Rattus norvegicus: one gene and its partners. The protein of the gene in region 3 purifies or fractionates together with the protein of the main gene of each other region. This does not show direct contact. Links are inferred from orthologs where the notes say so. Each region holds a gene or a part of one and is shown on either strand. Other genes may lie near its edges.

Region 1 (3,500 bases), on a different chromosome or scaffold from region 3:
GAAGCTGGGTTGGACCAGCTTCTAGCATCATCAGAGCGTGGACAATTACTCATACGGGAAGAAAGTGTTTCTTATTTGCATCTAGCTCAAACCCTGAATTCCACCTTTGCAGCACAGCATTTTCTGGACTTTGAGGCAACCTCAGTCCTCAGGCCCTTGTGAATGACAAACTTCATTCACAAACTTGCCTACTTTATGTTCCTATGAACGTACCGGGCTTGTTTGCACCACTTCATTTTCCCATCTACGAAGCTCCGATCTGAATGTTAAACTGAATGTTCACAGGAGTCCAGACTCTTCCTTCAACACTGACCCTCCTCCCTGCAGCAGGCACAGTACATGATCTAGAAAGGAGGTCGCTAAGGCTATGGTGCCTGGCTTCCCATCTACACACACGCATGCAAGCCACTTATTCCACCACTTGGGAGTCAAAAAGCCCACAGAACAACTGATCCTTCCCTTCTGCACTGACATGATCTGGAGTCCCTTTCCTATGACAGACTTTCTCAAAACTAATACTAGTTCAATGAGGTGAAGGACAAAACAGGGAACCTTCTAGGGAGCTTCAATTCTGTTAAAACAAACAGCTCGAGTGTGGCAAAGTTAGTTCTTAATTTATTACCAAGCTAAAGAAATGCCCTTCTTCCTGACTCACACTCTTGTAGGTAGCAACCCACCTCTTATCAGGAGCTGCTCTGGAAAGGTTCCGGTCATGCTGCCTCTCTTTTCGCCTGTCATGACGGATTTCATCTCTTTCTCGGGCCTCTCCATCCTCTGTGGACACAGTTGAAAATTAGCTTGTCACTATATTAACTACTCATAGTTTGCACAAGGGGCTGGATCTTCAACCTTAGAAAATGCTGTATTTTTCTATTTTCTTGAGACATGGCCTAGGCTAGCCTCAAACTGGCTCTCCTTGCTGCTGGGATTATAAGTGTGCACCATCTGTTCTTTGTGGTCACATTCAGCCCTCCAACATTCCTTGCAGTCAATTTAAATCCAAGTTTGTGGGCTGTAGACTCCTATATCAAAGTTACTGAAATGCACAGAAGTAAAATCCAGTCACACTAGTTGTCTTTAAAAATTAACCAGAGTCTAGGTGAAGAGAGGTTGTTCTTTTCATCAAGCATTCCTTTCAGCTCTTCCTCCTTATCTTTGAAAATTGTCCGGATAAAATGCAAAGAAAGGGCTGGGGAAATGGCTTAGCTGGTAAAATGTCTGCTGTTCAAGCATGAGGACCTGAGTGTGGACCTCTAGCAGCCCGGTAGACGGCTAGACATTGTAGTGAGTGTGGTGAGCTTCCGACTCTCTGACATCCTTTCTTCAAACTACAAAGAGTGATTGAGCACGGACACTCAGTGTGTCTACAGGAGGCACACACACATCCACATCAGCACCTCCCCCCCCCCCCCCCCCACACACACAGCACATAGAACTTTTAACAAATGGAAAGAAAACAGAACCATGTACAGGCTTTAGTTGGAGCTTGCTGAACAGCCAGCCTAGCTAAATTCGTGAGCTCCAAGCAGAGGCTGTGTTTCAAAAACTAAGGTGACTGCTGGCCAGCTTTAATAGTGCCACAAAACCCACTGGTGTGGAATGTGGGAATTAGCGGTGTTATACACTGCTGGACCCTGCCCAGCACAATCCTGTCTGGCAGGGTGAGCTCACTGGTGCAGCCCGGGCAGTGCTGTCACGGGGCTGACCTGATGCTTTGGGTCAGATCCCTAACTACTCTGACACATCTCCTATGGACTCAGCTATACTGGGGTAAGCACAAGGGCTCTTGTAGTCACCTATCATTCATTCCATCCAGAATGTTCTCCCAGATAGCCACATGGTTTACTTACAAGTTTTTGTACTAATATTAGCATTAACAAGTAAGGCCTCTTCTGACAAGCCTTTCCTTCTGGCAGTTTATATCCCGTGTTTTATTTTTCTTTATCCACTGTATTATATTCTATACAATTGACTTCATTTGCTTATGTTGTTTTAGAGACAGGATCTTACTATGTAGCCCTGGCTGTCCTCAAACTTTTCATTCTCCTGCCTCAGCCTCCTCAGTGCTGGGAACAGAAGTATACTGCCAAGTGACTTTCTCCCATATTAAAGGCTTTTTTTTTTTTTTTTTTTAAAAGATATGTACTTCTTTGCTTTTTGGTAGCTTACTTCTACATTATTTCTGAAATAACTCAATTTTTCTTGTACATATAAACTACTTTTGTATGCTGTAAAATACCCTCCCTCATACATGCTCAGTGCATGGAGACTTTCTAAAATGAGATATACATTGTCAGTAAGTAAATTCCAATGAGAATGTCATACCTTTTTCCACATGGGTTTTGATCCCAGCTCTCCTTTCTCTGGCTTTCTGGGCCATTTCTCTGAGTTTCTCCTCATGCTTCTCCTTTTCTTTCTGAGCCATCTTTCTCTCCACTTGGGCTCGCATTTCCACCGCTTCTCGAGCCTGTTTAGTAAAGTGAGATGTTAAGTGGAACTCACAGTGGGACACACATTTACAGCTCTCTCCAACTCCTTACTGCAGCCTGCCTGGAAAAGCAACTGCACAGACTTCAAGGTCTAACAAGAGTATATGACTTTGGAAGTCTGGGCTTGTCTCTTGGGAATGTTTAGATGGTGCAAACACAGGGAACCTGGTTGACTTTTATAAGTCAAGTACATCATTAATGCTTTTTAGCGAACAATCCAAAAATGAAGTATTGGTTGAGCACTAAGGTGAGCACCTAGCACAAAGAAGATCATCGGAGTCCACCAGTTCAGAACCAGACTGGGATGCACTGGGCATGGTGGGGCACGACATTAATGCCCGCATTTGGAAGGCAGAGGCAGCTGAGTCTTCGTGTTTGTTCCCAGACAGCCAGTGGATCCTGTCTCAAAACTAAAGAAAGGAAGCCGGACTGAACCATAGTGAGATCCACCCTCAAATGTAAGTAAATAGGTAAATAAATGTAGCTGAACATGGTAGTGCATACGTGCAATCTAGAAATCAGGAGGCTGAGGCAGAAGGATTGCTTGCAGTGAGTTCCAGCATAGCCTGAGCTTGAAACTCAGATCCTATCTCAAAAACCAAATCCACCAAGATTTACGTATAACTCTCCCTTGAGACAAAAATCTTTGCCTACATCTGAAGACTTAAAAACAAACAAAACATATCCAAAACCTCCACTTATTTATTTGTATGTGTGTGTGCATGCCATAGCAGCACTCTATCTGTAAGGTCAACAGCCCATACCATCAATGCCATTATGTGAGTAACCTAAATCAAAATGTTTACCTACCCTTCTCTACAACTGTCCTTCAGGGAACATCTACATCTAAAATATAAGAAATCTGTACAACACACAATAGTACCTAGCAATCCTCAAAGAATTAGGTTAGCCTAGGGAAACAATACTCTGGCACAGGAGGACCAATGCTGCTAGAGGTCTCCGGACAGAGCTGTACCTAGCCCCTGCTGCCATTGGTGTACACACTTGCCA
Region 2 (3,500 bases), on a different chromosome or scaffold from region 3:
GTGATGTAGGCCCAGCACTCAGGAGGCAGAGGCAGGCAGATCTTTTGTGAGTTTGAGGCCAGTGTGGTCTACAAAGCAAGTTCCAGGACAGTCAGGAATATTATACAGGGATGTTACTAGGTGGTGGTAGTTGGGTTTATTTTGAACTCCCACCTGAATAGTTATCAGCGATGAATAAAAAAAGCAAAATTACTAATTCTACCTTGAGACTTCTGGGGAATTTTACTGTTCCCAATATATAATACATCCTTTAACTTTTAGACATTTTACTTTTATTTTTAAAAAGCAGCAGAGGCTATGTTTTGTCTTATGGAAGTCAAAGCTGTGGTGAACTTAAGAGACTTATTCAGCCCAAATAAAACACATGGCATCCAAGGTCCAATAGATAGCACAAAGCCACAATGTACTTCAACAAACAATGGAGACCGAAATCAAACAATTAAAAAAGAAAAAAGGAAAGAAAGAACTAAGACTACTTAGATTCCTAGTCCCCTCCCTGGACACTGATCTACTACTCAAGGAAGGTGAGACAGAAAAACAGAAAGCACAACTCTTGAGAGCCTCTCAGATTCTTCTCAATGAATCATCTCCGTTTAACCCAAAAATGTGTGCACATACAAAGAGACCACACCACACTAATATAAACCAGAACCCTCCGAACTGGTCAAGGTGAGCGTTTTGCATCTTTCAGTCTTGAAGGCCCACACACTAGTTTATTGGTCAAGTTGCCTCCCTGCGGAAAGAACCATCAGTGAACTACACAAACTTGCTACAAGTAGAGGAATCTCTTCAGTTCCAGGAACCATCCAAAGAAAAGCCCCAAAAACCCGACAATGAAGAAACCGAGGACCTGCTCTTTGGAGGATGTAGTCTAGTTGCCACTGACAACAAGTGTGGCAAGCTTTTGTCTTTTTCATTGGGACAATACTCTAAAAGAAACTACAGACACGTTACAATAAATTAGCTATAAATCTAACTAAAATGTAATTCAAAGCCATATCATCAAAGTCATAGCATGAGCCAGTTCATGTCTGTAGCAAGAGTCTAGAGCAAGAGAATTGATTAAAAGAAGCCAACCTGGGCTCCACAGTAAGTTCCCAGTGAGTCTGAGCTATATAGACTACCCCTCCCCCACCACAAAATAATAATTTATCAACCACATTTATTATTATAGTATTATTTTTGACTAATGTTTTGTATGTTTTGTGGTGCTAACATTAAATAAATGCCCAGTGTGTATGGAACACTTACTAGCTTTCATTTCAGATCTTTGACACCTCTGATCTGGAGGAACTGAGCAGACACGAAGACAGGATTCTATGCTGGTGTTGCATCAGCTACTCTTTGTTTTTCTAAGCAGTTACAGTGAACAGCTATAATGTGTATTTACCTTTGCCATGACTTCCGGATCCGGTTCTTCCACGGGGTCAGCCCACTCAACTGTAACTACATTTCCCCACACTTTGACTTTTCCACTCATCAGCCGGCGTCTGGCTTGTGCTGCTGACTTGTGATCCTCATATTCAAGGAAGCAGAACCCCCGATTCTTCTTTTTGTCATCGGGTTGATGATAGAGAATAACGTCCACCAAACCCTCTGTTAAACCAACAGCCAGATATATAAGCCAAAAGCATCCACCACACGTCTAGTGATTAGGCAGACCTAAATCCACTTGCCAATGAGCAAAAAAAAAAAAAATTATTGAAGAGGCCTCACAGTAGCAAACATCAGAGCAGCATTATTCGATGCAGAGTTTGGGACAGTAGTATGAGTTCTGTTAAAGAGTTCTTAAAGTAGGTCCAACTACTATGAAATCTTGTAATTAATGATAAAACACGACCTCATAATCTATAAAGCCATTATCAGGACCTCAAGATTCAAATTATTTACCCAAATGCGAGAGAACTAACTCTCAACTACTAGTCACAGACCAAAAACCAAATCTAAATGAAATAAAACCCACCTTTCTGACATCCAGCATAACAGCTCTCTTTACTATGAACAAGGACCATCAGTAACCATTCGCGTCGAGTCCCTCTGACCTTATGTCCTTCCTCCCTCCACGTATGTCATGTGAGCTAACCGTAGTACTTTCTGTACCCTTATAAACAAAACTTTTTCTAGCCTAGATTTCTCAGAGACCCAGATGTATAAGCTACTTAAAATGCCTCGGACAAATTTCACATGTGCAAAACAGCACTACTATACATACCCAAAGTATACTTTCCCTAGGCTTCCCTACCTAATAAACAGGTCATCTTTCAGCTAAATCCTCGTGCCAGAAAATAGTAATTCTTTTCATCATCTCTACTGTCCAAATCTAACACATTTACTTTTTACCACCTCACTATTGCCATGGTTAGTACTACTAATCCTGATGACAGCTCTAAGCCTTCGTCTGCATAGAATAGAAAAGCACTCGGCATGCGGAGAAAAAAGACCTTCACACAGGGTTAGTTTTGGGGTTGGGGATTTAGCTCAGTGGTAGAGCGCTTGCCTAGGAAGCGCAAGGCCCTGGGTTCGGTCCCCAGCTCCGAAAAAAAAAAGAACCAAAAAAAAAAAAAAAAAAAAAAAAAAGACCTTCACACATCTTCTAATTCTATATGCAATACAATGCAAACTTCCTATATGGTCTAAGAGCCTTGACTGCTTCATCTCATATAATTCTACTTTTAATTTGTTTTTAGCAAATATTGGCTTTCTATCAGTTACTTTACTATAAGTTATTCTTGACTGGGACACGGTATATGTTAATCTTTTGGAAAGTTCTCTTCTTTTTTTGAATATATTTTTTAATTTATTCTTTTATGTATGTGAGTATACTATCTTCAGACACACCAGAAGAGGGCATCAGATCCCATTACAGATGGTTGTGAGCCACTATGTGGTTGCTGGGATTTGAACTCTGAACTCAGGACTTCTGGAAGAGCAGTCAGTGCTCTTAACCACTGAGCCGTCTCTCCATTCCCCAACTCTGTTCTTTGTATGCTATATACTCTTGAGTTTTTAAGGTCGTGCCCGAAATAAAACCTTATAAAAGCTAACCACAGAAACATTCTGTAATTCTACAACATAGAATTATTTCTTTAATTTTCTGATCTTAACTCTTCTCTGAGATGTAGGCCTTCTAAAGGTAGAAAACAGCAAAGACCAGGTCTCTTATCCACCACTGTATCTCACTGTGTAGCAGGTACTTTAATAAGCACATACTGGAGGGGAGAATGAATAGAAGAACACAAACAGAAAGCAATTACTATACAGTCAGTCAGTATACTATTACTATACTATACTATACTATACTATACTATACTATACTATACTATACTATAGTAATTATCACTATAATTATTATACTAGTCAGTAGGGCTAGAGGGATGGCTCCTGAGTTCAGTCCCCAGCAACCACATGGTGGCTCACAACCATCTGAAATGGGATTTGATGCCCTCTTCTGGTGTGTCTGAGGACAGTGACAGTGTACACACAGACACAGACACAGACAC
Region 3 (5,724 bases):
ACTAGGGAGGCTGAGGCAGGTAGAGGATCTGAGTTGGAGGCCACCCTGGTCTACATAGAGAATTCTAAGAACAGCCCGCCAGAGCACCAAGCTATATAGAAATCCTGTCTGGAAAAAAGCCAAAAACAAAAAAAAAAAAAAGCTAAATAAAAAGGAAGCATTACACGTTTTATGTCAACAAATTATCTCACCTAAGTTATCGAACTAATGAGCTACTTTTAAAAACAAACTGTCCTTTAATAAAGAGCGTGTATATAGGAGTTGGAAAGATAGTTCAGCCAATGCTCTCACAGGAGCATTTAATTGCAGCACCCACAAGCTAGCTCACAACCTAATTCTTGTTCCAGGGGATCCTATGTTTTCTTTGTGGCTTACATGTCCAGAATACACAGTGTACACATATACATACATGCAAGCAATACACAGAAAAATAAAAATGTAAGTATTTCTAGGCTATACTATCAAAACTCTCATTAAGGTTTGGATGAGCTCTTTTAAAAGGATACTCACAATGAGTCAAGAGAACCACATGACTCAACTGGAAATTGGTAGTCCAGAGCCCAGCGGTCTTCTTTTAAACTAATAACGGGAAACAATACTCAATGTAGCTCTTCAAAAACATTTAACACTGAGGTTTTGCTACCCCTAAGTTATTTTTCACCAGCAGCCAATTCTTCAATCTAGTTCATACAAAACCATAACCCTTCCAATGAAAGTTGAATGTAAGTAAATAATGCTAAATACTAATATACTTGACCGATTTATAGTAATACTCTTGTTAAGGTAGTCAATAGCAAAATAACATTTGTTACTGGCTGCCCTGGAACTAGCTACTTAAGCTAAGCTAGCCTCCAACTCTGCCTGCCCCTGCCTCCCAAGTACTGGGGTGCATACTCCACCAATAAGAGGCAGTAATAATTTAGGAAACAGAGGTGGGGGTGGGGTAGGACAATTTTTTGTGTATTTTGTCAACTACTTTCAGCAATGACTAGGGTTAAATGAGAACTCAAAATTTCCATATAAAGTAGTAGTTTAGCTTGTTTTATATCTCAAAACAAATCCAGAAGTCTAATTTACTGGATACTTACATAGTTTTACACAGCCAAGATTTTTCAATTGTAGTTTCCCTAGTTAGTAACTTCCACTCATCATCTATAAGACTGTAACGAACTATTTAGGAATATATTCCTTACTTGCTTGAACAGCCATGCCCATTTATAACAAGATCACAAGCCAATAAATCTAGAGATCAAATTGCAAACATGTTATAATTACTCTACAGAAAAAATAGTAACCATTACCAACCATTTTGGAAAATGGCTTGACCATGGCAAATGAGAGATCCAAACCTTGCAATTTTAACAGCTTCCTCCCAAGTCAAATCAAAAATGTAATTTGAGTCTGGCCTCAAAACTCCAAGAAATCCACATGTTCTACCAGAACAAGGTGCCTACCAAGCCTGGCCTACATTTATAACACTTAATGGCAAGTATACATCAACTACTACCAGTAACCTTGCATAACTTCTGACATTTATAATACTTTCTCTTACCTAGTTTTCACTGTTCACCAGGCAAAACCCTGTACTCTATCTACTTTTTAAAGGCACATGCCTTTAATCCCATCTCTTACTTAGGCGGAGGCAGGTGGATCAGAGTTCAAGGCCAGCCTAATCAAGACAGTGGGTTCAGAAAAGCCAGGCCTATTGCACAGAGAAACCAAACAAAAAATGTGGGAGGCTGTTTTTTTTTCCTTTGTCTGCATTTGTTCTTCTTTAGACAGTCTTAATACTCCAAGCTGGACCAAGGATGGCCTTGAACTCTTCCTACCTCTATCCCCCAAGTGCTCAAATTACAAGAGTAGGCCATGCACATTCCATGAAGTATGCTTAAGAGTAAAATGTGTGTATAGTTTAAACTAAGATTAGTAGCATATTTTTGTCACTTAATCAAACCCATTGTTTTCTGTATAGCCCTGGCTGTCCTAGAATTACTAGATTTACTCTACATTCAGATCTCCTGCCTTCCTAGTGCTGAGATTAAAAACTGTGCCAGAGTGAAATACCAATTTTATAATAAGTTTATCTAATGAAATAACTCCCAGGTAAGTTAATGTGACACAAAAACCCTTTATTAGTATGGGAGATTGAATCCTGGGCATCTTGAATCCTAAGCACTATCACTAGCTATATTTAAAAGAACTCGGACGGAGGAGATGGCTCAGGGGTTAAGAGCACTGACTGCTCTTCCAGAGGTCCTGAGTTCAATTCCCAGCAACCACATGGTGGCTCACAACCATCAGTAATAAGAGATCTGATGCCCTCTTCTGGTGTGTCTGAAGACAGCAACAGTGTACTTATATAGAATAAATAAATCTAAAAAAAAAAAAAAAAAGAACTCAACACCTACAAGAGAGCAACTACTTTAATTTTTAAACATGTTTTACTATGTAGTCCTGGGCTGCCTTGCAATGGGATCTTGCTCAGGATCTTCCTGTCTCTGAACCTCCAGAATGCAAACATTCCGGGCCTGCACTACCATAACTAGCTGTAAACTGCTTTTTTTCCATTCTAGATGGGTAGGATTAATACTGGAGTATCTGTAAACTATTTCTGTGCCTTTTAATTATTGTTCCCAAGTCCAGATTGAAAATGTCCTGTAAATTTCGGTATCAGGTTCCTCTAAAAAGAAAAACTCATTCCCACCCCACCCCCCTTTTTGAGACAGGGCTTCTCTGTGTAGCCCGAGCTGTCCTGGAACTCTCTCTCTGTGACCAGGCTGGCCCACAACTCAGAGAGATCTGCCTGTCTCTGCCTCCCAAGTGGTGGGAGGCATTTGGCGTGCACTGTCACCACCTACCGGCTAAGTCTCTTCTTGTGTATAGTCTATTCTAGTAACTTGACCTGCCTAGAAATATCTTAGTTTCTCTACTACTGATTTAGTCCGGTCCTGTCAACCACTTTTAAGTCTCACTTCTCTCTAGGACAGCAGTACCTACCTCAAGCAAAGTTCCACTAACTTATGTGATTTGTAACCTGCAGATAAAAAGCTGTAATTATTCCAATTACAATTTACCTTGGGCACTTCCCTTTACAAACCAAAAGCACTCCCGACTTTTACCCATCTATCCCTTGAAGAAAAAAGTAATCACTACTTAATCTATTGTTAAAACGCCGTTCAGATGCCATGTGGCCGGCCTGGAATTTAGAAGCTTCCAGTACTACACCACCATGTTATCGCTCCCCCACCCACGCCCGACATTTAGCTTAGAAGACAATAACGGAGTAAGAGATTCACTACAATTACATTAACAAGCATTTCGTTCTTCGCTTTCTTGCTCCCCTGCTCCCCCTTGGAATCCTAATGGGGGAAGGAAATGAAAGTAGCCGTTAAACACCAGCGCGCAAAGAGGGTATTTTCGTACGCACCGTGGCCTAGAGGTCACTAGGTTGAACCTGCGCCAAGGCCGAGGCCTGTTGCCTCCCGCCTTAGACCCAATCCCCAACGCACAGGAACAAACGCGGCCTCGGTTTCTGCCGCGAGGCCGTTTTCTCGCCTACAACCCCCTCGCGGGGCCCAGCAACCCAGGGCCTCCCCTGCCCTCGCCCTCTCCGCTTACCAAGAGGAAGGAGAGAGAGAGAAGAGCCTGCCTCTCCTACTGCGGGTCTACGCCGAGAAGCCGGAGCTACAACAGCAAGGAACCACACGACCGTTCGCTCTCCGTCTCTTCACAAAATGGCCCCCGAGCTCCTCTGCCGCCGAGGCAAAAGTCCAGCCCCCGCCCCGCTCCCGGAGGCGTTTCTATTGGCTGTGACTTTTCTCGCTCCCGCTCCTAATTAGATAGCGTTACCGCTCCTCACAATTCCGTCCAATCATCACACGAGGTGGGTTGGGCTAATTGGGAGAATTTCCACATGCGTAACAAAAGCTACTTAGTAATTGGTTAAGCTTTCTATCACTTAGTGTCTGACGGATGGTTATTGGTCACTGTACCAGACGGAAAGCTGGGTGGAATTTTCGCCTTTGTATCGCGCACAGCTTCTCATCCGGGTATCCGGCGGACCTGACTGACGGCCGTGTCGTCCTATCAGTGCTTCCTAGAGATCCTAGGTCCGGCCAGATCACCGCATTTCCGCGGCACGGAGGTGGGAAAGCCTGGGTGGAGTCTGGTAGCGGGTGCAAAGGGCCTGCCCTAGCCTCAGGCCTTGGAAAAAAAGGGAAGTGCAAACAAGCTTTAGAGAAGGGAGGATCGTAATCCCTAGGCCGCCTGAAGTGTTAAAAACTAAACAGGTCTGCAGTTATTTTCAAATTCAGATCCCCTCTCATTGCCAGATTCTATAAGCTATTGGAAGGACGTGGCCTTGTCAGTGAACAGCTCCCTCCAAACCAACTGGTTTCCATAGTTCTCTCCTATAAGAGCAATTGCCTAGACCCCTATAAACCCGTTTCCTGGGCCCAAGTCGTCACACAATCTGCAAAACCAATGGCCAGCCGCCTCAGTTTCCCACTTCCTGCAATAGCTTGATACTACTTAACCCCCTCAGCTCGGCCAGTAAAGCTCTGGTTACACTGTAGAAACATTAAACAGGCCAAAAATGTATATAGCCTACTGAGAAAGGGAAAGAGTACCCCAGGAAATTTCCTGATTTAAAAATAAAAAATAATCTTTTAGGTCTTCTTTAGACCTTTAAACCTTTGACATTTTCAAAGGATTTATTTTAAATGTTCCAGTCCAGCGAGTTTATGTGTTCCCAATTTTATTTTATTTTTTTTTTCTTTAAAGAAAGGTTTGGGCTAGGCGGTATTTCTAGTGCAAGGCCAGTCTACTCAAGTTTCAGGACAGCTAGGGCTGTATAGTGAAACTCTCTGTCGAAAAAACAATAAATATAAGTACCTAGGTAGAGGTAGGTAGGTAGACAGACAAATGGGAAGCCCTTCATGGCTAGGCTTGCGGGCCATTGAACCCCAGGTTCCTTCTGTTTTCACTTCCCTGGTGTTAGGAACAAACACGCAATGATCTCCTCTGACAGAGCTCCTAAGCACAGGCAAAGCAGTTCTGTAAAGAAGTTGGCTTTGGTGAGGGAGGTGCACCTGAATCCAAACCAGAGTAGCAAGCAGGAAGTTCGCTTTGGTTTTTTTGCTACTTATTTAGTCAGGGTCAGACTATGCAGCCTGTATGTAGACCAGGCTGGCATCCATCCCACAGTGATCCTCCTACCTCTGCCCTCAGCATGCTGAGATCCGATGATAGTGTAACCACTTCTGGTCTTGACTTTTATTCTGACACAGGTGGTGACTGTGTCTTTCCCGTGGGCAGTGTTTTGACCTTTCAAGACTATGCAGGTTCTAAAAGACTTGGAGAAAATGACATGAAGAAAAAAGAAGAACAGGATGGCTTCGGGCCATCAGTCTCCAGAAATACAAAAAAGGGAACATATGTGTAAATAAATGATTTACCAGGTGAAAGAAATTGAAAGGTTTGCCCAAAAATTTTACAAAGTGAGGGAGATCTATGGAATTTTTGGCTTTTCCAAATGAAAGGTTAACTCCATTCATTCATTCATTCATTCATTCATTTTTGTTTTTGCGAGACAGGGTTTCCTGGAACTCTGTAGACCAGGTTACCCTCTAACTCAGAGATTCTCTTGTTCTTCTTCCAAGCCTGGGATTAGAGCAGTGGGCCACATCACCGTCTAAAGATGGCTATTTTTAATTTAAATATTTT
Region 4 (3,500 bases), on a different chromosome or scaffold from region 3:
TCAATGGACACATGAAGTATAAACCAATCAAACAGTTCCCTCAGCTTGTGTTCATGGCGCTCCATCACAGCAACGGCAACGCTAACTAGGACAAGATGGTAACCAATTCAACAAGTCTCCATCTTAACAAACGCACTTTCAGTCTTAGTACACTCCAGGAAGAATTCCCCTCTGTACAGTACTACTCTTTGTACTGGATTAAAAAGGTCATGTGAAAAACACTGTGAACAGAATAAAACAGAAGGAACCTAAAGCTAACAACAACAACAACAAAATCCTTAATCTAGTGGTTAATGTGAGTCGTTTTTCAAATATAGAAACACGATTCTGAGAACGTCAACCTTCCCTCCTATGGGTAACCAGCTTCCCCGAATGCGTCCATCGGTACTTCCTAAGGAGAGAGTGTTACTTACTGCTACTTTCGTCTCCATACTTGTAAATGCAGGTTGGGTTTGCAGGACACAGAGCTGAGAAGGTGGGAGGAACGATATCTAATATATGCTGATGGTAAGACAACCTACAACATAAACAAGAGTCTCAGAAAGTCTCATGTTTCAGGCTTTGCTAATACTCAACCTGCCCAGAAGCCAGATCTAAGATCCCACAGAGAACAACCAAGACGCAAATGGGGACCAAGTCCTTCCAACCATTGAGAAAGTTAGCATAGGTGAGTGAGCTCAGGCCGCTCAGACACTGACTCTGCAGCGTGCGTTCAGGGAAGACTGCAAGTGAGAATGGGTCGGGTGGAGGTCAGATGGCACGGCTGGGAGGCTGGTCGTGACACGGCAAAGAAATAAGTGGGAGCTAGAAAGAGGCACGCTTTGTCCTGTCCAACAGAGCATTTACATAGTATTTACAATGTTGGGTGTGAAAAGAGGGATATACCGTGCAAGCATGCACACGGTATCTTCCCAAAGGCCTCAACTACCCCTAAAAAATACACATTAAGAGCTTAAATCACAGTTCCCCAAAACATACTCTATCAACTAGAAACTAAAGGCTCTTTAAATAGATGGCTCTCGGAGAGGGCTAAGAAAACACAGATTAGATAAAAACCCAAGTTTAGAAAATAAGAAAATGCTCATCAATGTTGGGAGACATTGAAAAGAATCTTATTGGCTTAATTAACATAAAATCCAAATAGTACAGCAGACTAACTGTAGCCTAAATCTTCATTTAAAAGTGAGTTGGAAGATGGACAAACATTGTAAGTACAAAACAAAGGAGAGAGAAATCCTGTCAGATAATAACCAGTTCCAGCAGTTTCCTTCATGAGAAGCTAAGAGAGCTAAGAGAACAAAATGCAAAGAGCTTACCTCATACATTTCTCTAGAACTTCTCTTACAAACTTTGGTTTGGGACTTTCAAGATCCTGAGTAAGACAATCTGACCTAGGGAGGAAATCTGGATTACGTTAACATGCATAACCTTCAGTTCCTGGTTAGAGGTTTCTCTACCTTTTACCTCATCCACATAGAGTAACTAAATATCAAGAAATACTTGAGACAACAAACTGTTTTAAAGTGAGTTTTAGAGGCTGGTGGTTAAGAGCACTGGCTGACTTCCAGAGGTCCTGAGTTCAATTCCCAGAACCCACATGGTAGCTCATGACCATTTATAAAGGGATCTGATGCTCTCTCCTGGCAAACAGACAGAGCACTCATATATATATATATTTTTTTTTTTAGTTTTAAATATTAAGGTTTTCCTGTGTATGTATGTATTCATGTGCTGCATACATGAGTGTGACCTGTACAGGGAGATCAGAGGATAACCTTGGGCGTTGTTCCCCCAGTGCACCCACTTTGACTTGAGATAGTGTTTCTCGCTAGGCCCAGAACTTACCCATTAGGTTAGGGTGACTGGCCAGTGAGCTTCAGGGATCTGTCAATCTCTATGTCCCTGGTGCTGGGATTAGAAGCCCACATCTCCACAGCTGGCTTTTTTTAAACCCAGGGTCTGACTGAGCAGTGCTAGCTGGTCTGGAACTTGTTATGTAGCTGGCTCCTAACTCTTAGAGATGGGTGTGCCTCTGTCTCCTGGGTGCTGTAATTAAAGGTGTGTGCAACCAAGAAGGGCTCAACATGGGTTTTTTTTAACATGGGCTCTGGAGCTCAATTGGGTCTTTATGTTCGAGTAACAAGCACTTTACTGACTGAGCAATCTCCAATAGTAACTGTTTTCAATAAGGAAGGATAAACCTTACACTTACCAATCTTCCCAGCTCCAGCGGAATTGAAAATTACTTAGATGATGAGAAAACCAATTAATAAACCTACATTGGGGAGTGGAGCAGGGAGAAGAGAAAACAAAGAGTGCAATTTAGACCAGCAGTTTATAAAATCTTAATACAGCTCAACTGTCTCGGGGAACCCCACCCCACCTGTAGTCTTTTGTTTTCTCAACAAAGTCTGACTCCCTGTCCTATGTCCCCAGATTCCTCAGCTCTCACAATGGGGCTCCCTTTTATTCTTGTTAGTGAACAGCCATGAGTAAAGCATGTTTTGTGCAAAATATTTATGTAATTCTCACAGCTATGAAGGAGGATATTAGTTTTTCATGTAACTGTTTATGACATGGAAATAGCTAAAAAAATAAATTGTAGTTAATGTTTACAAATAATTTACAAATGGCAGAATCAGAGTAAGCTTCTCGTGTTTTGCTGGGAATCAAGCATGGGTTCCTGGGAGAGCAGCTAGTGCTGTAACCACTGAGCCTTTTCACCAGCTCTTAGACTCTCAAAGACCTTTTAAGAGTGTAACTACTTCTTCATTTATGTGTTTACACTGCATATCTGTGTACACAGTGCCAGCAGTGCCAGAGGTCAGACGGGTATTGAATCTTCTGGAACTGGAGCAAAGCTTCAGGATGTGCTTGCTGAGAACCAAACTCAGGTCCTCTGAAGAGCAGAACCTGAATTGCTGAGCTCTCCAAGCCCACTACGACCTTTTCAGGACAGCCTATATACCCACTTAAACACACGTAGCTCTCGGGACAGGAAACATCTTAGTGTGTTAAATGATGCCCTGAAGACCATTGGAGTACTCAAATGTTTACAGAACTGGTACTCTATTAGAGACACTGGAAAACACTTTCTTAAAGCACTTCTCTCCAAACTGATTTCAATCATTTGAAATGTTTCAAGGTCATGGACGGGGGTAGTTCTCACTGATAATTTTTGAATATGAGATTCTGAAGATTCCTGAGGCGCTAACATAGCCCTTAGTTGCGACGATGTCACCAATGGCCGTACCTGTCAACACACGTGGTACTCATGGTGTCCAGACGCATGTACAGCATCTCAGTGGCCTGTGCAAGCTGTGACCGGAAGGTAAGGAGAACTACTTCCTACTCTCCTGCCTAAGGACGGTATGTTTCTTTCCTTTTCACATAGCTAATCTTGTTTTTCAAGTTACACTGTCGACGCTGGACAGTAACCCTGACTGCTCCTTTGTATCCACTCCCCCTCAGTCATTTGAGACCTCTCACTGCATCCACCC

What was found. Proteins that work in one complex are often made in the same cells at the same time.
Region 1: the proteins of Hnrnpc (region 3) and Snw1 purify together in Homo sapiens (affinity purification with mass spectrometry; 3 studies listed by BioGRID and IntAct, with this or other methods). This does not show direct contact. The link is inferred for Rattus norvegicus from reciprocal best matches to the Homo sapiens genes HNRNPC and SNW1.
Region 2: the proteins of Hnrnpc (region 3) and Hnrnpr purify together in Homo sapiens (affinity purification with mass spectrometry; 3 studies listed by BioGRID and IntAct, with this or other methods). This does not show direct contact. The link is inferred for Rattus norvegicus from reciprocal best matches to the Homo sapiens genes HNRNPC and HNRNPR.
Region 4: the proteins of Hnrnpc (region 3) and Ncbp1 purify together in Homo sapiens (co-immunoprecipitation; 3 studies listed by BioGRID and IntAct, with this or other methods). This does not show direct contact. The link is inferred for Rattus norvegicus from reciprocal best matches to the Homo sapiens genes HNRNPC and NCBP1.

What each region holds. Positions count from the first base shown.
Region 1 is NC_086024.1:112,829,960-112,833,459, forward strand, and holds part of Snw1 (SNW domain-containing protein 1), read right to left. Parts: intron 2,468-3,500; coding exon 2,326-2,467; intron 775-2,325; coding exon 678-774; intron 1-677. UniProt on the Homo sapiens protein: Involved in pre-mRNA splicing as component of the spliceosome. As a component of the minor spliceosome, involved in the splicing of U12-type introns in pre-mRNAs.
Region 2 is NC_086023.1:153,847,019-153,850,518, reverse strand, and holds part of Hnrnpr (heterogeneous nuclear ribonucleoprotein R), read right to left. Parts: intron 1,672-3,500; coding exon of another isoform or gene 1,646-1,671; exon of another isoform or gene 1,607-1,645; coding exon of another isoform or gene 1,597-1,606; coding exon 1,391-1,596; intron 1-1,390. UniProt on the Homo sapiens protein: Component of ribonucleosomes, which are complexes of at least 20 other different heterogeneous nuclear ribonucleoproteins (hnRNP). hnRNP play an important role in processing of precursor mRNA in the nucleus.
Region 3 is NC_086033.1:27,278,944-27,284,667, forward strand, and holds the start of Hnrnpc (heterogeneous nuclear ribonucleoprotein C), read right to left. Parts: upstream 3,773-5,724; 5' UTR 3,619-3,772; intron 3,035-3,618; exon of another isoform or gene 2,998-3,034; intron 580-2,997; exon of another isoform or gene 511-579; intron 1-510. UniProt on the Homo sapiens protein: Binds pre-mRNA and nucleates the assembly of 40S hnRNP particles. Interacts with poly-U tracts in the 3'-UTR or 5'-UTR of mRNA and modulates the stability and the level of translation of bound mRNA molecules. Single HNRNPC tetramers bind 230-240 nucleotides.
Region 4 is NC_086023.1:65,232,132-65,235,631, reverse strand, and holds part of Ncbp1 (nuclear cap-binding protein subunit 1), read right to left. Parts: exon of another isoform or gene 3,319-3,500; coding exon 3,254-3,318; exon of another isoform or gene 3,163-3,253; coding exon of another isoform or gene 3,146-3,162; intron 2,276-3,145; coding exon 2,213-2,275; intron 1,392-2,212; coding exon 1,317-1,391; intron 518-1,316; coding exon 414-517; intron 1-413. UniProt on the Homo sapiens protein: Component of the cap-binding complex (CBC), which binds cotranscriptionally to the 5'-cap of pre-mRNAs and is involved in various processes such as pre-mRNA splicing, translation regulation, nonsense-mediated mRNA decay, RNA-mediated gene silencing (RNAi) by microRNAs (miRNAs) and mRNA export.